4 linked regions of the Caenorhabditis elegans genome follow. The protein of the gene in region 1 interacts with the protein of each later gene in a pairwise test. Each region holds a gene or a part of one and is shown in the gene's direction. Other genes may lie near its edges.

Region 1 (4,284 bases):
CTGTCATATTTGAAATCCTGTAAAACATCTCTGAAGCTATTAAATTTTTGCAATTTAAGCTATTAAAATGTTGACCCAAAACTCCCTCCAAAGTTCCCAAAAACTATAACATGTCAAGTACATAAAATGTCCTTCCCTATCCATAACCTAATGATCACCTGTCAATTCTAGTTACCTAACAACATAAAACGCGTACCGCTCTTTCTCCTCCACCCAACAGTGCGCCAGACGGATCCCTTTACAACTCTCTGGTTGGTGATGATGTAATTTGGAGCCGCCGGCTCACCGCAATACTGTCGGAGCACAAAATTCAGGAAAATGATCCTGATTGAGAACATGGTGCATGCATTAACAGATAATTTGTTTTTGAAGGGAAAATCAATAATTATCTGGAGATTAGATATCTTGTTTTTAGAGATAGTTGTAAACAATGGCAAATTGTAAAACCACTTTAGATGAACCTGGAACTTTCGGGAAATCTGGCAACCGAGCTACAAACTACAAACTACAGAAAATCAATCTACAAATGTTTTTTTCAGTCAAGAACCGAGATATCAGTTGCACATGGTGCATCGAACACTAACAAGATTAATCAAAATTTGTCACGTCCAGTATATCCGTAGTAAAAGTGAGAATTAACCTCAATGATTTATCATCCTGCCCGTGTCCTTCTTCCCGTTTATCAATATTACCGTAGTGGTGATGGTGGTGGGGGCATCGAATATCGTCGTAAAATCGTCGTTAAACAAATTTTATGAACTCTATATACAAATCAAGCGTGTTATTATTGTTTGGTAGAAAGATTGGAAAACGATAAAGAGAGGTGAACAGGTTTCCTAAAATATCCCCCCGGAGATTCATTTCTAGCAAGTATTTGGAGAAAGATGAAGAGGGACTGCACAATATTTAAATCGTTGAACCAATAAAATAATAATCACAAACTTGGAGCATTTGGAGCATTCGATGACGATTTTCTAGAAACTGGGGAAGTTATGAGGTTTTTGGATTACATTTTTGATTGGAGTATCATGAACATTTTTTAGAACTCCTTAATAATAATTCTTCAAACGACAAAGAAGTTTCAACCAAAAAATTTGTCAAAAAGTGTTTCTAACAGAAATGAAAGTATGTAGAGAGAAAGTTGGGATAAAGTAGGTTGAGAAGTATCCCACATATCTCAAAAAATATTTGGTTTATCAAAAAGTTGTCAACTGACAAATAGTCGAGCAAAATGTCAATTGAAAATTCCCTCGTATTATTGATTTTTGGGAAGTTACAGCTGTTCAAACTTTTAATTTTGTCTATTTTCACCTTTGAAACTTATTCCTTCACACAATTCCCCTTTTTAGCATCCCGCCAAACATCGAAAAACCACGCCTACCAGTGTTATCGCTACCGTACCCCGCGGTCCGCCTTCGGGAAGGCAGGAGTGGGGCCGTGGCATCCAGGTGAGACCCCAGGCTCACTCTCAGCCACCAATCTGTTTAGTATTCACTTTTACGCGAATTTTCCAATTTACCAATATTTCAGTTTTTGCCCGTTTTGATTGAATCCTTATTATAATATGAAATTCCAGAGAAAAACCATGACAGATCAAGTGTATGTGACACTTCGAGAAGATCAGGATAAGCTGTGGAACCTCTTCCATTATCATAAAAACGAGATGATTGTCACAAAATCCGGCAGGAAAATGTTCCCGAAGCTTGAGTATGTGGTCAGAGGTCTCACGCCGAACAAGCTCTACGCTATGATGCTTCATATTGAGCCATCCGACGATCATCGGTACAAGTTCAGCAGTGGAGAATGGGTCAAGTCGGGAAAAGCCGAAAAGCACAGGGAGCCAAAGAAGTTGTGGCATGCGGATGGAGTTAGAAGTGGAAAGTGAGTTTTTTTTTGGAATGCTTTGTTAGTTGATCTTTTATTAGATAGCGCAGTCAGGGTTGGAGTACCTATTTTTCAGCAGGGAATCAGAAAATAATTTCAATTTAGAACTGTAATATCTCAAAGGAAAATAAAAATACAATAGTTGCTTACTGATGAAATGTTTATTATAAAATTTTCTACAGTTTTCCAATTGACAACTTTTTTGTAATGACTGTTTCAAGCAAGTTATAACTACTTAAAAATGTAACACATCGCCAACTTGAGCATGTTAACTTCAAACTGTTATAAAACTACGGGCGGTTTAAATATCAAATATCAAATCCTTTTCAAATAAATTATCTGATTTTCTGTATATCTCCCTATAGTAACTTTTTTCCAGAGAATGGATGACCAACCCAGTTTGCTTCGATCGTGTAAAAATCACAAATTGCGCTGAATCTACAAATGCATCAATGGTAACAGCCATAATTCTTTTCTCCTTCAACCTCAGCATTTCCCAATTTCTTCCAGATTTTCCTTCACAGCATGCACAAATACACACCAGTAATGTCAATCTACGAGTCCCCATCGGAGAGCCCATTCAGCGTCCCACAACCATCGACCCGTCTTGTCACTTCTGTTCGACTCACTTATACCGAATTTATTGCAGTTACAGCGTACCAGGTAACACTTGTTTGGGATCTAGATAACTTTGCCTATTGAGCCCGCATTAACACTTGCATTAACACGTGTGGCTCTCTATGAGCCACATCTTCTGAAGGGTGCGAACACTAATTGTTTGAGGGGTATTGTTTTGGGTTTTCTGTGAAGTGAAAGGGTTTGACACAAAACAAATAGAAGAAAAGGATATTTAAATAATTGTTGCAATTTTTTATTAGAAATTAAAGTAAAATGGGTAAATATATTAATATAAATTTTTAGTCTCATTCTTGATTTATTAAGATTTCCTCAAAAACCGTAAGAGAGCTATCATGAAATTTTTGACCTATAAAATGATGTATACTTTTCAAATCTGAAATAACTTTTCTCTTAATTGAAAATATTGAAAAAACACTCAAAAATTGTCTGAAAGCTGAAAATAGCTTGAAAAAAGTTTTGATAGTTTGCCGGCAGTTTTTTACCGTTTTTCCGATTGTTGCAACTGTCTCAGGCGGTTTTAAAGACCAACAGCAAATAATTAACTGCATTATTTAATCTACAATTTTTTATTTTCTTGAAAACAGCGAGGCATCTCAGAAAGTTGTCTTTTTTCCATGGCTCAATCAAAATGTAACTCTTAAATTCAAAAACTTCCAGAACGACGCAGTAATCAAGCTGAAAATCAAGTTCAACCCATTTGCCAAAGGATTCCGAGAGGGAAGCCAATCAGACAGAAAACGAAATTCTCCATCCGCCGACGACTCTACAACAGATGAAAGCTCATCTCAAGTCTCTTCTCCTCAGCCAAAAAAGTCACGAACCGTGTCAGTATCACCTCCATTGATGCCACGGATCCTTCCAACAATGATTCCACCACCACCAGCCATCAATCCCCTTTTCTACAGTCTCCCCTACTTTTCCCATTTGGCAGCCACCGGGAACTTCCCGCCTGTACCATTCCAATTCCCATTTGGACTTCCATGCTTCTCCCCAATGTCATTTCCAACACCTCCGCCATCTTTGAAAAATGTCAAGAAAGAAGAGCAAGAGGATATTGAGCAGGAAATCAATGTAGTTTAATTGCAAAATTTAATTATTAATTTTAAATTGTTATACTTTAGTTCGGGTCACATGATCACTTTTTCTGTTAATTTTTTCTGCATAGAAGATTTTTTGTTTCTGAATTTGGACATAATCAAATAAATTTTATACGGTGTAATTATCTTCCAGACAAGTAGGCAGGCAGGCAAAAATGCTCTTCTGCGGGCATTCACAAAAAATAGGTCTTCTATTGCCCATGCCAATTTTTTGAAAAAATAACTTTAACTTTAAAAACCAGTTTTTTTGCGGCCTTTAAAATTGAGCAATTTTTCCTTTAAAAAATTTCCAAAAAACACCATGGCCGAATTTGTATTTTTCGCGGCCACGAGACTTCAATTTTTCATGGCAATGTTTTAAGAAACTTTTATGGTTTTTACAGTTTAAATTTTTTCCACCATAGAGCATAACTTGCCACGTGGCCGAAAAAAAACGGTGGCGGAGTTTCTTCAATTGGTTCTTTCTGCCACCAAGACTAAATGCGGGGCCGAGGTTTCACACGTTCTAGGCCACGCAATTTCTTTTTTGAACTGTTTTTCTTCTTTCCGTTCCTTCAATTTTCTCCGTTATGGCCTAGACTTTCTTGTGAAAAACTATAGTTCTTTCAATTTTGAAATTGCGAAAAATCGGCAAAGTCGACCTGCTCAATATGATGACGTGGAA
Region 2 (5,946 bases), on another chromosome or scaffold:
CGATTTTAGTTCCAAAGGTACAGCACCTGCCCTCGACACGATATATTTCAGTTAATTGCGAAAAGGCGTGCGCCTTTAAAGAGTACTGCGGAATTTTAATTTCTAAATCTTTCGATAAAACTACACTTAAATAAAAACTTTGAAAAAATGTAAAAAAATATGGCAGCAACAAGCGTTTAAAGTTACAGTACTCTTAAAAGATGAATATGTATTTAATAAAAAATTATCGTTTCGAGATACCGTAATTTTGAATGAAAATCGAAAACTTGGGAAATTAAATCCGCTTCCAGAGTACAATGCCCCAATTCTGCTCTCAAAAATGTTTTTTTTTCAGTTCGGCTCAAATAATGTCTCTGGCATGGAATCCGTCAGGCCGAGGTCTTCTAGCTTGTGATCGTCAGAAGACTTGTACACTCTGGAGATGATCTTCAATGTATGAAATTGAATATAATTGTACAGAATCATCATCTGTGTTATAAATGTGCATATCCATTTTTAAAAAAATAGTTTTACCCGCGTTTTTCATGTTTTCTTTCAGATTTTTCATTATGAACATTCGTTTGAAATAGAAAAAAATTGTATGATATTTATACATTTTAATTTAAACCGGTAATCCTCAAAAAATGCCTGAATATTACAAATTCTGTGTTATCACCACCTATCCCTTGTATTCTATGAACATAAAATGCACATTTTCTTATCATTTCACCTGGTTGGCTGACTGACAGTCGTTTGGAAACATTCGAGTTTTCTTAAATTTTCTATAGTTTCTGATGCTAACCTATGAAAATCAGTTCAAAATGATGACAAGAATACAGGAAATTAATAATTTCTGTTCCCGCAGCATGATGATATTTTTTGCCGATGAATAGTCCTAATTCTTCGTCATTGAAAAAAATTTGCTCCTTTCGATCTGAATTTGAAAAAAGTTTATTAAAAAAAGTATATTTCAAATATTAATGATTTCTGATTATTCTGCATTGCCAGGAAAATATTTTCATATAAACTTGTGAAAAGATGTCAATTTCTGAAAACAATTCGGCCAGTTTTCTGAAGCAGTATTTTACATATCTTCCAGGGTTCAAAAGATTAGTACTCTCAATGAGTCGCAGACAGCTTAGTTGTTTTTTCTTTCGTATTAATATACTTACATTTTCTTTTATCTCTAATTCTCTTACATCCACCTTTTCCGCAATCTCTGCCACTGTCGGCGATCTCTTGTTCTCGCACGTTTCTCTCTAATTCTATAACGAACGTAAATCTTTATTCTCTCTATTATTTTTATATATATTTGTGTGAAATATTCAAAACTTGAGTATTTAAATTTTTTGAAAAACCATAAGTTCAATGTGATAATTTGAAATTTTCCCATCACGTTTTCGATTAGACAGAATGAAGTTTCCGTTCCAGTGACTATAAATAGGCGAAATTTAATTGAAAATAGTTTTGCATTATTTTCAAACCACAGACTTTTTATTCATACATATATTTGAAAATATTAATTCAGTGAATTGCAAATTTAAAACTCACATTTCTTTAAAATTAATGAATCAATTTTCTATCTCTTGCCGTAACAAATAAATAAATCCATATATTAATATCTTCTCCCCTTTGTCCAGCCAATTTCTCATCTCCTCCAATTAGCCTCTTCCCACCTTTCTCTCTTCTTCATTTTCCCCCAATTCTGTTCTTATCAGTACTAACCTTGTTCGGTCCTTTCTCTCTCTAACCTCTCTCTTCTCTTTTTCTTACTCTCTACCATTGCCGCACACCTCCATTCATTTTCACTTTAATCAAATATGTCTACGGACCTTCTCTATGAATATTTCTATCCACCTACCGATTTATTCAAAAATACTTTTGAAGACGTACCACCATCTCCTGAGTCTCTGGACGTTGGTGATTCGTTAGGATCATCTCCATCTTACGATCTTGGATTCCAACCATCATTCGATATTGACTTCTGCATTTGGAAAGAGGGATCTTCATCACCTCCACCGGAATCGAATCATCTCCCAGAGATTGTAAATAAAGCTTCAACATCTCCACGTGGAATGCCATCTCCATTAACTGACAGTCGAAGTTGTCATGTCTGTTCATCTCCCACTGCCAATACTCTACATTTTGGAGGTCGTTCTTGTAAGGTAAGCAATATGATCAAGAAAAAAATATTTCTCGTATCAATTATTAATTAGCACTACTCCGAAAAAATGAACATTTTTTGTTTTTACAAGTGTTGTACTTTCGTTGTTGTTGTACAATATACATTTTTTGTTTTCTGGATAACAATTGAATTTGCATCGGACATTATTACCCAGGCCCACGGTATCCTGCCTCAGCGCAACATATTTTTGTTAAATTCGAAACGTTGTGCGTCTTTGAAGAGTACTGTAATTTCAAACTTTTATCATATTTTTTATCATTCAAACTCGTAAAATCAACATTTCTAGACTTGAATTTTTGTTCTAAAAACACCGATAAACCGTTGGTTTCATTAGTGATAATTGTGAAAAAAGGTCCTAAAGTATTTTAAGGCGTAATAATATAACTATGCTTTGAAAATGTGCCAAAATTTGTAACATGCTCGCCACGTGTTTTTATTGTTATCCTGTGTTATCTAGAAGTGTATTGTAGTCAGGTATTTTCTTTTTCCGTCTGCGTATTTCGACGAAACATCACTTATTTTTGTGGCCATTTGTGGTATGTGTCTCACACTATTTGTTTTTGTAGTCTTAAGTGTAGCTAGAATGACAATAGAAGATCTTCATCTGATCGGATGTTTGAACACACCACAGTACAGTTCCTGTTTAGAAACTAGCTCCTTTTGACCAAGTTTTGTATGATAATCTTACTGAAAACCACGAACAAATAGAAAAAGTTGTTGATAACGTACATCACACTTTGCATGCTTTATGTTTAAATAAAGAGAAAATGAAAAGTACAATTTGCATCACTAATACCTCCGGAAACATGTTTCTCACAATTTAATTGGAATAAATTTAATAAATGAGCATATTTTCAGGCATGTGCAGCATTTTTCCGAAGAAGTGTTTCAATGTCAATGACTTACGAATGCATTGGCACTGGAGATGACACAAATCCGTGTAGAACCCATTACGAGCTCAGAATGATATGCCGTCACTGTCGGTTCATCAAATGTTTAGATGCCGGAATGCGCAGAGAACGTGAGTGATCATTGACAAGGTCATTTGTCACATGTTCAATTGGCCAAAAAGTCCGAGGTACAAAAAACAGTAATTTGTTGTTTTGCAGTGGTGCAAGCGAGAAAAGAAGAGACGAGAGTTGCAAAACGACGTTCCAAGGGATTGGTTGTATCGAAAAAGGAAGATGACGATGTTGAATCTTCGTATGATGAGTATGTAAATACATATACAAATGTTCAAGGTTAGTTTCTAATTTATTTCGAAAATATTTTTGAAGCCCTCGACTGGGAAATTTTTTAAACCCTCTCCTATGGTAATAAAATTCCTAAGTATAACAGTTTAACGTTTCAAAAAATTTTTTAAATTTTTTAGTTACCGTCAAAAGTGGGCAAAACTCAGTTTTCATCTATCACAGTTTTTGGAAGTTGACCAAAAAAAATATTTATCTACAAGTCCTTTTTTTTACAGCGTTTTAATTGTTTTAATTGGAAAAATTCCAGGGTTCCAACTTGTAACAATTTCTACAATTTTTTGAAAATTTGGCAATTCACCAAAACTGAGGTTTTTTAAACTCTTAATCTTTTTGGAAAGTTTTTATGAGATTCGGTTATGTTAGAGTATTATAAGTGTATCTATCCCGACTGACGATACTTTAATAATACCATTTGTTGTTTCAGATTCGAGCCCGAAAATGGAATCAGGGATTAATGAAATGACGATTCCTGAGTCATACCTTTCACCGGATCCTTCATCTTCTCAACCACTTGATATGACAGTAACACCTCCACCACTGCACCGTTCAACTCCATCCATACTTCTTACTCCAGCAACTGGTGACCGTATGCACTGTCAACGTGTGCTTTCCAATTCTCCTCCATTCGATATACACCAGGCAAGCACCAGCCATGCAGGATTTATTCAACATGTACAGTTCTACCCAGTCGTTGAAGTTGAAAATAAAATTTTCGAATTAGTTGATCATTATGTAAGAACAGAAGCTTCATTGAATGATCGAAGGAAAATAATGTACACGGATACTCAGATAAGAGATGTTTTCGATACAACTTGTGAATGTGTGAGTTTTCAATGCACCATATCCATTTCTCACAATATTCTCTTTCAGCCCTACGAAAATCATCAGCTGAAACCTTTCAACTATAAATCATTTTGCGGATTTGTAAAGCACGACTTTGTTATGATTCTTGATTACGTGAATCAATTTCCGGAGTTTCAAGCTTTACACAAAAATGACAAAAATGTGGTCTATCGAATGGCTTGCGCCGTAGATTCAATGCTTGCATCTGCCTATTATAGCTATAAGTGAGTATTTAATGTTCAAAAATTAGATTCAGTCAGTTTTTCTACAGAGTTGGAATAGAAAAAGAACGTCTAATACTTTTCAATGGTGACTATATCAATATGAATCCGATTCCAATAAGTGGAGATGAGCCAGGCGCGGGAACAGAGTTTCAAACCCCGCAAGAACATGAAAAGTACAAGTGAGTTTGCTAAACTTTTTTAAATCTCAGTAAATTGTTATCTTGCAGAACCCTAATGCCACTGAAGCTAAAACAATATTTCGATCTGGCAATTCCGTTCGCTCGACTAGAAGTCTCATTTGAAGAATACGTACTTCTGAAAGCTCTCATAATTTGGCAAATCAGTAAGTAAATAATATCTACAGTAAAGTTTTAAAATTCTCGTTTCAGGTAACTATCGGTTACTAGAGGAGGGACGAGCAATTTGTGCACGGCAACGAGACACAATAGTTCAAGCCTTGCATAAAGTAGTTGAAGAACGAGGTGATGAGGATCCAGCTATTCGAGTTGGTCAGCTTCTTCTGAGCATGAGCTATATAACGGTTGGTTCCATCATCAATTTGTTATGAAAAATTAAATGAGTTTCAGGAGCAAGTACAAGCAATGACAAACTCTTACCTTGTAATGACTTTCTTTGATGTTGTATCCTGTGATAGTATAATGTACGACTTACTATCTTTCAGGTAACAAAATTCTAATAATTTCAAAGTTTAAATGTTATCAAATTATTTCAGAGACGACTGAAACAACCATCGTGAAGGTTCTACTTCATTCATCTGACTTTTAACGACTATTAACTTACATAGCTTTATCGCGTAGCTTTTGTATTTAAAATTGTGACATTTTGTTTATATTCTGTGATTTTCTTTTTTTGCCATATTCGTTCAAACTCTCAATTCAGATCTTTCAAAACATGTGTAAAATTGAACTCATTTCAGTTGTATTGATATACATTTAATAATTAAAAAATTTATTCAACACTTGACACATGACTAGGGCTATAAGAAGTCACCGAATCATCCACATAAACCGGAAGAACGAAATATTGCCAATGCGATTGTGGAACCAAATATGGTTTGCTCCAAAGACGTTGCAAGTCACCCGTTGGTGGAGTCGAGTCAAGAGGAAACCTGAAATAGAATGGATTAGAGATTATTGAGAACTATGAATTCACCATTCAATAAGAATATTGTGATTCAACGTTGGAGATTCAGCTCTAGTACATTGCTCGACTTCTATCTGAAATTTCGACTGTTTTTGGTAGCTCTAGATGTAGTTTTCACCGAAATTTCTTTGCCGGGAGGAATCAAAAACTTCGATGGATACAACTTGTAGAAGCCAGTGGTTGACAACAGAGCTCTACAAAAAATGAACTGTATTTAAAATAACCAGAATAATTTTCGCTGCAGACCTCAACGCCAACCAATCATTGTTCCTATTGTTCTTCACATTCAATATAGACA
Region 3 (5,166 bases), on another chromosome or scaffold:
CCTTCTACAGTGTTGCACATTGGCTTGAGAACGTTGTGAGTCGTCGTATTAAATCCATTTTGTGATGTTTTACATAACAAAACCTCTAAGAGAATAATGGGAAATAATGTGGAAAATATCAATTCCATTTTCTCATTCTCATCCTCATCTTTCATTTCATTTCTGCTCATTTTCAGCTCATTTCTATGAACGCCACTACTATCAGCCATTACGTGTGTGCATGTTTTTCCTCGACCATATTATTCTGTACAAATACGTCGTCGCCTTATTTTACTATTACCGGTTTTAATGAGATTGTGTTGAATTATTTTCTCCCCCCTCCCTATTTGAAACCAAACGAGCGCGCACACAAACACATGAGAGCGGGCGGGTAAGCGTCTTGGGTCCCAATTACCGTATATCATGGAAGTGGGTGGAGCTGTGGACGTTCATTCAATACGGCTGTGCTCACCTCAACTCGTTTTATTTTGCGTTTGATCAAAACTAAAACTTGATTTTTTTTTCAAATGTTCGTCATTGGACTCTCAAGGGTTAATCAGGAAAAAAAACACATTTCGTGATTACTTGTTTGCTTCGAACTTTTTTTCAAGCTTCATAAGACTTCATGTGATAGTTTCCGATTCACTTCCATCGACTCTTGATTCATCTCTTTTCCCTCAGTTTTGCATGGGTTCTCTAAGGTATCAGAAATCTCGTCTAAAATTTTCATTTGTAAATTAAACCCCCATTCTGAAAATTAACAGTAATACGAGTGTTCTTTTTTCAGCCAAAAATGATTTTTTTGGAAAGTATGGAAAAAAGTAGTTTAAAAGATGTCATCACAATATTGGCAGTACTCTTTTCAACTTCCTGTACATCAAAATATCAAACCATTTACCGTATTTTCCCTATTAGGATTTCAACCCAGTTTCCATCTTTACCAGCTTAACACGAACAAAGTACTTGTCAATTTTTTTTAGCGGTTTGTAGTTTCTTATCTTTGATACTGAACACAGATATAACGTTTCAAATAGTGTGGTACAGTACTATTCAAGGAGTTACGGTATTCGAACACATTTCAAGTGAACAATGATCCTGAGTGTTTTGCTCATCGAGCCTATATTAGATATCTCTCCTGTTTCCATCATTCCTCATTATTACCTTTTGCACTCCGAATTCGACACTAACCGCGGATAAGCTGCTGCTTGACCCGTGCGTTCGCATAGCAACAACGATCCACTAACATCTCGAATTTCATATTTAAATTAATAATGTTTTGCTTAAAGCATAACTGATTAGCTTTTTGGCATTCTCGTTGGAATATACATTGAACCTACATTACAAAATCAATTGATCATCAATTTTGAAACAATTGATAGAGTCGCTCAGCGGAAAAAAAACGGTTAATTGTTGTGATTAATGGTGTTAACCAAACATAGTAATCCACTTAAACGAATTAGACATTAAGTTGGACAGGGCGTATTGCCTAGAAACATCTCTGTTTTGCTTGATCACTTAACACATTAGCGGAAAAGCAAGCAGGGAGTTCTTCGAGATCCTCAGATTCTGCTAAACTTCTCTCAACTGTATTCATAGTCGTTTTCCTATTGGTCAACCATTGTTTATATAGTTTTGATATCCGTTTTCTTAACACTACCAAAGACAATAATTTGACTTGGTCATCATTTCATTATTACTCCTCTCCTTCCCATTTCCTACACCCCATTTATCCGCGAACGCTCGCCCAGCTACCGTAGTCTTGAATGGTGGGGCGGGGCTACTCATTAGTATTCTCGATTAGCCCTCAGTTGACTCTATTTTTCTCAAACATGCCGACTTCAGTTATGAATCTCCCTATTGATATGACGACAATGAGCTCGCAAGAACGTCTCGAAAAAATGTCACAACTTCCAAAGATTGAACTGATGGAGGAAGAAGAGGAAGAAGAGATGAAGCCAAGTTCAGATAATAAGATTAAATTCAATATTTCTGAGTTGCTGGAAGATGACAGAAAACCGTAAGTTGAACATTTTCATTTATTTTCCTTTTATTTGTATAAAATTAAACTTTCAGAACTACACAAAGTTCCCCGTCGGCATCTTCAGAGGATAGCACCAATGAAATTGAGCAAACGGCGTTTAATTTCAATTTTGATCCAAAAATGAATCCGATTTCTGCCCTCCTGCAACTTCAGCAAACTTTCTTGAACGTCGGCAATCAACAAAACATGATCTCACCACTTACCATGTTCCCATTCTTTGGACTTCCGACTGCTCAACTAATGCACTTCAAAAACATGAGCAACCCAGGTCAGTAGATATTACCCAACTTCCTCTCTCCTTAGTCTGTCATTAGTTAATGTGTGAAAGAATCCTACCATATTTCATTTCATTCAAAACAGTGTTCCGTTTACCACTATAATTTTCGGTCGGTTCTCTTTATTCTCCGAATCTCAGAACACCCCTTAATACAGTAACTAATTCATTTTCTGACCCATTGTTATTGTATGGTCTCGAATTAGCCAAGTCTGGACTCATTAACAAGTTGAACAACGGTATTGGATGAACATATGGAAAAAGGAGGGGGGAGGTTGTCGGCGGATGCAGTTCCTTTCTTAGGATAAGAATCAGAATCGCTCGCCTGTGTTGAACTCAACTAATTATCTTTTGTTGGGTAACACCACACGCGGTATTCATTGATTCTTGAAAGGATGTGCTCAAACAGCAATAAGTTAATAACGTGAGAATACTAAACCCCATGAGCTCGGTGACGCGTGTCAGGTCCTTGACTTTTATTTTGATTCTAAAAATAAATACATTCAATTAAAAATTATAGAGAAACAACTTTTTTTTTCAGATTCAAAGTTTTTAATAATGAAATGTGGCCTGTAGGGAATTACCAAATGTCATACTAAAACATTTCAAAAATGTTTTAAATAAAATTTATTTTTAGTCAAAGAACATTGAAAACTCATAGTCCGCTTTTACCTAATTTTTGGCTCAAAATTTTTTTAAAAACAGTTTTATTTTGATATTAAGCCATTTTAACATTACAAAAATGCTGATTAATTATTTCCCCTCACAGGTCCAACTTTAAGCCATTAAGTTTTCCGCTCAGTTGATTTGGCAAAGCAAATCAGCGTATTGTAAAATAACATCATCACGCTGTTTTATTACGCTGACTCTGTTGATACATGTGGTTTTGCCACTGATTTGTTTTTGATAACATGTGAAATGATCAAAACAGCAATAGAAATCTCTTATTCTAATGAGCCTTTTCCATTTCGCATGAAAAATCAGGCATACGCATGAGCGCACATTTTTAGTCGTCAATATTCGTAACGTAAGCGGCTACACTTCGGTTTTTAAGAGATTCTAATTAGTCAACGAAGAATCAGTATTGAAAACTAAAGGTAGTTCTTAATATAGAGACATCTATTTATAAAGGTGTCATTTTGACCGACACCCGTGTCCTAGTAATCCCCCGTCCATTGAGATAATTAACCGATGGACCACGGGGGGATGTGTTATAATTGTGGCCTGTCAATGGAAGTATCTTAATGCAATATGGTTAATATGCCTGTCAGGAATTAAGTAATTGTTGAAAATGTGTTTCCTTACAGATGTTAATATTCAATCAGACAATGGAGAAGAGAAGGATGAAAAATCGGAGGGAAAAGATGGGGAGACCAGGGATTCCACTGGTGGCAGCCCGCTGGAGTCTGACGCAGAAGATGACGATGATAGTGAGTTGAATTTAAAAATGTGTCCACAAAAGTGTCCATAAACTGTATTTCAGTTGGCCGTGGAAGCGATGATGAAGCCAACTCTAGCGATCCATCACAAAATAGAAAGAAGAAAACCAGAACCGTCTTCAGCAGGAGTCAGGTATCAGAAATTGTACATTCCGAACTCAAATAATACTTTCATTCAGGTGTCCCAATTGGAAATGATGTTCGAATGCAAAAGATATTTGAGCAGTCAAGAGAGATCAAATTTAGCACAGAAGCTGCACTTGACGGAGACCCAAGTGAAAATTTGGTTCCAAAATCGACGAAACAAGTTCAAGAGACAAGCTCAGACTGATGACACGAACATTTCCCTGCAGATGCATAGAGCTAATGTGTTTTCGATTCCAGCAACCACAGCTCTTACATCTCCGTGAGTTTACTGTTTCATGAAATTAATTCTAAATTTTATATTTCAGAATCCTTACGATCCCAACGACCAGTGCTGGTGTGAACATGAGAAATATGATTTCATCTCCAATGGATGCTTCTGCAACTGCCGCCGCGCGGTTTCTTTTCGGTTTTGGTACACTTCAGGCACAGCAAAACTTGAATGCGTCGGCTCAAGCGCAGAACATGTGAACACCTTATTACTAATTTAGACTCACCCCCTGTGCAATTCAACTCAACCTCAACACATTTTTCATCTCATCACTGACTCTATCTCTTCACACTTGATTTTTGATTCATCGCCCTTCGTATATATTTTATTTTTCATACCCTATATGTTTATTATGTGTCATTCTGTGTATTTTATAAACTATCTTCGAGCACATGATAATTCAGTTCATCAATCCTTTCTCTTTCACTAAATAATTATTTATTGAGTAATAAATTTACATTATGAATACATACAATACAAAAATGATAGAAACTTTTTGATGTGTAAAAGACCATTTTCCAACAGATTATGATGGTAGCAAAGCTACTCTTTTCACATACATACATATACTAATATTTAAGATGAAATTTCAAAACAAATGTTCAAATTCCATCAACTGCAGAAATATCAGAAAACTTTTATTCTGCTTGAAGAACGAAAACTTACAAAATTTCCAAAAATTTGAATTGTATTACTTGGATATAAAATAATAGTTTGTCTCCTTTGTATGTAGTATCTGTTTTTTTAAAGAGTTTTTGTTGTGTTTTGAAAGGTTAATGGTTAAAATTAGTAGAATGAATTAGGGTAGTGTAGTGTAGGTGTTCAGTAGGCAACTTTGAAAAAAGTAAGTTGTTATGCTTTGAAATAATATTGGAGAGTCAAAAGTATTAGAAATCTCTGTCTTAAACAGTACAAAAACGCTCGAGAAATTTTTGAAGAACTGTTTTGAAGAACTCCAAAAAAAATTTCTAGAAATTTCAAAAATTACGAAAAAAATTCCTTCGACACTTGCTGATTT
Region 4 (4,638 bases), on another chromosome or scaffold:
GATTACGTGATATTTCGCTCCTCCCTTTCCATCCATCACATATATCTTTTGAAGTCTCAGCTTCTTCTGAGCTCGAAGCTTCAAAGGCAATTAGCCGCACCTGTGGTGTCAAAATTGAAGAAACAACCAGGCATTCTCTAGGTCTAGAAGAATATAAATGTGATTGTAATCCATCTTTTCGTTCCTCTTTCTTCCTCTACTTCTCTCAATTCTTCTTCCCGCATTTTTTTGTGTGGAGGCCCCCGAGTCCTCCATCCATCAAAAGCTCACCAGTCATTTCGAGTCGAATAAAATGAGCATTTGGTGGTGGATGCAGAAGAGCCGTCTTCTTTCTCTCCTTGTGGTCGTGCGCACATAAGAAGACAAAAACCCATCGTTTTTAATCGAATACAAAAGACTCATTCTTGCACAACACTACACAAATTTATATTCATCTTCAGTATTAGAAAAGTCTTGTGGTATTGAATAAGCTCGACTTTCTGACTTTTCAATGTTTCCAAATACTTCAGCAAATTAATATCAACGAAATTTTCGCACGATTTGTAACCCCCTGGTTCAGGCGCTTTTAAATTTTTATTCATGTTCGGTATTAAACTTTGAGAGATTTGTGAGCCAGAGAGCCGCCTACCACCAATTTTTATGGCGTTTCTTTTTTCCGGGGTCTAGGCTCTGGGATCCATAACGTGCCAGAGTGCACTCTGTTTTTTAATCAGAAAATAAGTTCCGCCGTTTTCAAACGAATAAAAAAGTGAGAGGAAAAGTTTTGACACCCAATATGTTCTTCATTATCACTACTTATCAGTTGGCATTCTCTTTTACAACACTCCTCTGCGCCGATTAGACTGGCTTATTTATTACCCTTGGAAGATGGGGATGCACAATTTGCAACTTATAGATAGAAAGTTTTTGAATTTTTCACTTGGCTTTTAAAAATAAACAAGTTTGAGCTATTTTTTAATATTTGAAATTCGACTAGTTTTTCATTCAATTTCAATTTCAAAAATCATCACATCTGTATCACCCAGACGCGAAATTTTGAGATTTTTTAATCTAAAAAAACGGTTAACAGTCTCGACTTCAAACACTTTGCTGCGAAATTTTGATCGTAAAATTAAATGTAAAAAATCGATAAAATTCTGCAAAAACACACATTTGAAATTACAGTACTCATTAAAGGCACACACCTTTTCGCATATTACAATAAACTGTCGTGTCGAGACCAGGCAGCATATTTTTGTGCAAACTCCTTTGAAATTATTGTTATTACAGATTTTTTGAAATTAGTAATTTCGGAAGTCTCCAAATTCTTAAAATGTCCTTTCCTTCCTTCGTCTCCTTCTCACTTTCCCGGCGGTAATTGGTTTTGGCGTAGAACATGGCGCCGGCGCAAACACATTGACGCAAAAGTTCACAATTTAAAAGACCGTGTAAACAAGACCTCCTCCCCCTGTCCGCTCGTCTTCTCAAAGAACTTTTTTATCTTTTCCGTTGTTTTATCGCTTTTCTCATAATAAAAATAAAAATCGTCGTTGAAGAAATAAAATGGGCCCCGCCGTTGGTGTGTGTGTGCCATCACAACCATCAATTCAAACTTTGTTTTATTTCTACTTTTTTGCAGCTCATTGCTCCGTGACGGATTCAAATTGTTGTTTTTCTTCGCGACAAACAAGAAAGACTCTGGAATTGTATCGTTTTCGAATTTTTAAAATTTGGAATTTTTGATCGCCTGTCGATCAACCCCCGTCTACAATCACGTCGGACCAACGAAGATTCGCGAATCCGAACTTCTCGCATCCTAGCTCGAGTAGTTCAAGGGAAAAGTAGGTTTTTATTATATTTTAAAAGTAAAAGATTTGTTGACAAATAGTTGAAAATGGTATTCTAAAAGTTGAGAAAATTAAAAATATGAAAGGTTCACTAGAGGCATATTTTTCATTTTGAAAGTATCAAAATAAATTCAAAAACAGCGTTTAATTTCTTTTAGAAAACTAGAAATTCGAAAACTAGAAATTGGTGAATATGAACAGTATTTAATTTATATTTTAGTAGGAAACGAAGTGGATCAGCCAGCGGAATGTCACTAGCAGATCATATTGATGCAATCAAAAAAGAAATGACAAGTCTATCGAGCCAATTCAACTCGAATAAATCAGAACTTGAACGATCAAAACAGGATTTATCATCAATGCAACTACAAATGCAACAACAAATGAACGATTCAGTACAGCAGGACCTCCAGAAAGCTCATGATACATCGAAGAAATTAGATAATCTTGCAAGGACGTTTCTTGCATTAATTACTGATCCATCGCAACAATCACAATTATTAGCGGAATTTGAATCAATTTCCAAGAACGGAACACCTCAAATGCCAGTGATGACACCTCCAATGATGAATGCAGTTGCTGCAATGCAACCACATATGATGATGAGGAATCCAATGCTGAATGCAATGGGTGGAGCATCACCACGTGTTTCTGGAAAAGGTGGAGCTCCACAAAACGGTGGAATGAATGGGATGTCGATGATGCAGCACATGCAAATGCAAGCATTCCAGGCACAAATGATGCAAGCTCAAATGTTTCAGCAGATGCCGATGATGATGCCAGGGATGGTTCCTGGAATGCCACCGGGAATGGCTGGATTGCCTGGAATGATGCCACCGAATAATATGGCAGCTGCAATGCAACATTTTAATGCGGTAAGTGTTAACTATTATTCAAAATGTTGAGATTAAATTATGTTTATCGTAATTTTCTCTTAGGGGCACGGATTTATCCAGATGGGGTCGGCGGGGAAAAATCTATGATAGTTTTTTTTTTGAATTTTTACGGCATCTTCCTTGCCTTTTTAGCGAATTTTTCTGCTAAAAAACGTCTATGTTTGAAGTATAAATTTCAACAAAAAAAACTACCATAAACGTTTTGCGCACCGATCCCATCATAAAATATCCGTGAGCCTTTAATTTGAAATCTAGTGAAATTACGACAGTAAAAGTGAAATTCAAGAAAATTAATGTAGAAATACAAAGGATGTTTTAAATGTACTTTTTAGAGCAGTTTGATATTACTAGAAAACTTACTATTACTAGAAAAGATAGAAGAAATTAATATTTTTTAGCTCCTTCAGAAGATATTCCAAAAACCTCGATATCTCAATTTTCTATCCATTTCTGTACAACATATTTTCATAATCTTCCAGTTTCAGCAAATGGCCGCCGCTGCATCGGTAGCAGTTTCTACACCATCAAGGAATCCATCAACATCTGGAGCCGCTTCTCGAACACGAACTCCATTAACCACATCAGCCACGAATTCACCTCGACCCACCACAGAACCAACGATTAAAGAAGAAGAACCACAGACAATGGAACATGATGTAGCTGCTGCTGTGGCCGCAACTACTGCTACTGCAACAATCAAACAAGAAGAAAATTCGACAGTGGCGGTTGCTTGATCCTGTACCGACATATTTTAGTATTATCGATTGTGATATCTATCGATATATAGTGTAATCTCTCATCCTCTCAAAATCCTCCTTTTTCGGTGGCGGCTGACCTCTGGATCCATTTTTTCTTTTTTGAAAAATATTGTTTTTATGTTTGGCCTTTTCGCATTCTAATACAGGTCCAACTTTCCGTTTTAAATATTCGTTGTTTCTTTTTTTTTCAATCGCCGTCCATTTTAAAATGAAATTCTCATAATGTTCTCTGCTGCGTCGGACTTTTTTGTCGATCTCTTTGTTATTCCAGCCCATCAGTTTCATCATTTTTATTCTTCAAAAATTTGAGAAATCTTTCAGTTTCTTGTTCCCCCCAATCCTCCCCATTCGCTTTTTTTTGCATCCCGCAGCGGGTATCTCGTTTTGATTAATAGAAGAGTAATTTCCCAATCACAAAACCATCACCAGGAATGTTTCAAATTTTCCAGTATTTATCTATCAATTCGTCACCTCACTTGTCTCGCATTTTCTCGTTGTTTCCGTGCTTCTTGTGAATATGATATTTGATACAAAATTCTCATTTCGGTTTTCTCCAGTGTTGCTCTTCTCAATTGTTCTTTATGAATCGCGTGATAACGCTCATAAAACAGATTTGGCTGTTTATTCACATTGAAAGCATAAAAACGAAAATCACAATATCCCGATAAACCGAGTTACTAAATAGAATACAATAATTTAGAAGACACATCTACATTAGGCTATTTGAAGGTATTCATGGAAGAGCAGCAGTCAGTTCTGGGACGGCCTTGAACAAATCGGCTTTCAATCCAATATCAGCGACCTGAATTATTTAGAATTAACAATTTTGTGTTAAATTCAATTTTTACCTGGAAAATTGGTGCATCAGGATCCTTGTTGATGGCGACAATCACCTTTGAGTCCTTCATTCCAGCCAAATGTTGAATGGCTCCAGAAATTCCGATTGCAATGTAGAGTTCCTATAAATTAATTCATTTTTCTTTGCTTCTCACTTAATGGATTTCTTACCGGCGCTACAATCTTTCCAGTCTGACCGACTTGCATGTCATTTGGTACGTATCCAGCATCAACAGCGGCACGGGATGCTCCGACTCCGGCTCCGAGCTTATCAGCAAGATCATAGATGAGCTTGAAATTGTCTCCACTCTTCAATCCACG

What was found.
Region 2: the proteins of tbx-8 (region 1) and nhr-22 interact in a two-hybrid assay, tested with the Caenorhabditis elegans proteins (one large-scale study listed by BioGRID).
Region 3: the proteins of tbx-8 (region 1) and mls-2 interact in a two-hybrid assay, tested with the Caenorhabditis elegans proteins (one large-scale study listed by BioGRID).
Region 4: the proteins of tbx-8 (region 1) and lsy-22 interact in a two-hybrid assay, tested with the Caenorhabditis elegans proteins (one large-scale study listed by BioGRID).

Annotation. Positions count from the first base shown.
Region 1 is NC_003281.10:10,345,999-10,350,282, forward strand, and holds tbx-8 (T-box transcription factor tbx-8), read left to right. Parts: upstream 1-1,576; 5' UTR 1,577-1,585; coding exon 1,586-1,881; intron 1,882-2,263; coding exon 2,264-2,339; intron 2,340-2,394; coding exon 2,395-2,547; intron 2,548-3,180; coding exon 3,181-3,603; 3' UTR 3,604-3,742; downstream 3,743-4,284. UniProt on the Caenorhabditis elegans protein: Transcription factor. Involved in the control of early morphogenesis of the intestine, hypodermis and body-wall muscle. Involved in regulating expression of vab-7. Appears to have partially redundant function to tbx-9.
Region 2 is NC_003280.10:6,445,642-6,451,587, reverse strand, and holds nhr-22 (Nuclear hormone receptor family member nhr-22), read left to right. Parts: upstream 1-1,795; 5' UTR 1,796-1,799; coding exon 1,800-2,144; intron 2,145-3,022; coding exon 3,023-3,185; intron 3,186-3,273; coding exon 3,274-3,405; intron 3,406-3,841; coding exon 3,842-4,239; intron 4,240-4,287; coding exon 4,288-4,484; intron 4,485-4,531; coding exon 4,532-4,663; intron 4,664-4,711; coding exon 4,712-4,827; intron 4,828-4,873; coding exon 4,874-5,025; intron 5,026-5,071; coding exon 5,072-5,166; intron 5,167-5,217; coding exon 5,218-5,227; 3' UTR 5,228-5,393; downstream 5,394-5,946. Other genes in the region: atg-16.2 (Autophagic-related protein 16.2), read left to right, coding at 335-425; K06A1.2 (uncharacterized protein), read right to left, coding at 5,454-5,613, 5,658-5,722, 5,767-5,842, 5,895-5,946. UniProt on the Caenorhabditis elegans protein: Orphan nuclear receptor.
Region 3 is NC_003284.9:4,758,255-4,763,420, reverse strand, and holds mls-2 (Homeobox protein mls-2), read left to right. Parts: upstream 1-1,780; 5' UTR 1,781-1,808; coding exon 1,809-1,996; intron 1,997-2,052; coding exon 2,053-2,288; intron 2,289-2,526; exon of another isoform or gene 2,527-2,725; intron 2,726-3,601; coding exon 3,602-3,724; intron 3,725-3,777; coding exon 3,778-3,866; intron 3,867-3,912; coding exon 3,913-4,139; intron 4,140-4,185; coding exon 4,186-4,348; 3' UTR 4,349-4,617; downstream 4,618-5,166. UniProt on the Caenorhabditis elegans protein: Transcription factor that binds to the promoter of target genes. Regulates fate specification and/or differentiation of multiple cell types arising from the embryonic mesodermal (M) lineage and the ABp(l/r)paa precursors.
Region 4 is NC_003279.8:7,704,030-7,708,667, reverse strand, and holds lsy-22 (STI1 domain-containing protein), read left to right. Parts: upstream 1-1,618; 5' UTR 1,619-1,643; coding exon of another isoform or gene 1,644-1,706; 5' UTR 1,707-1,820; intron 1,821-2,046; 5' UTR 2,047-2,074; coding exon 2,075-2,701; intron 2,702-3,201; coding exon 3,202-3,456; 3' UTR 3,457-4,102; downstream 4,103-4,638. Other genes in the region: F27D4.12 (Photosystem II protein I), read left to right, coding at 1,644-1,706; etfa-1 (putative electron transfer flavoprotein subunit alpha, mitochondrial), read right to left, coding at 4,214-4,282, 4,329-4,439, 4,489-4,638.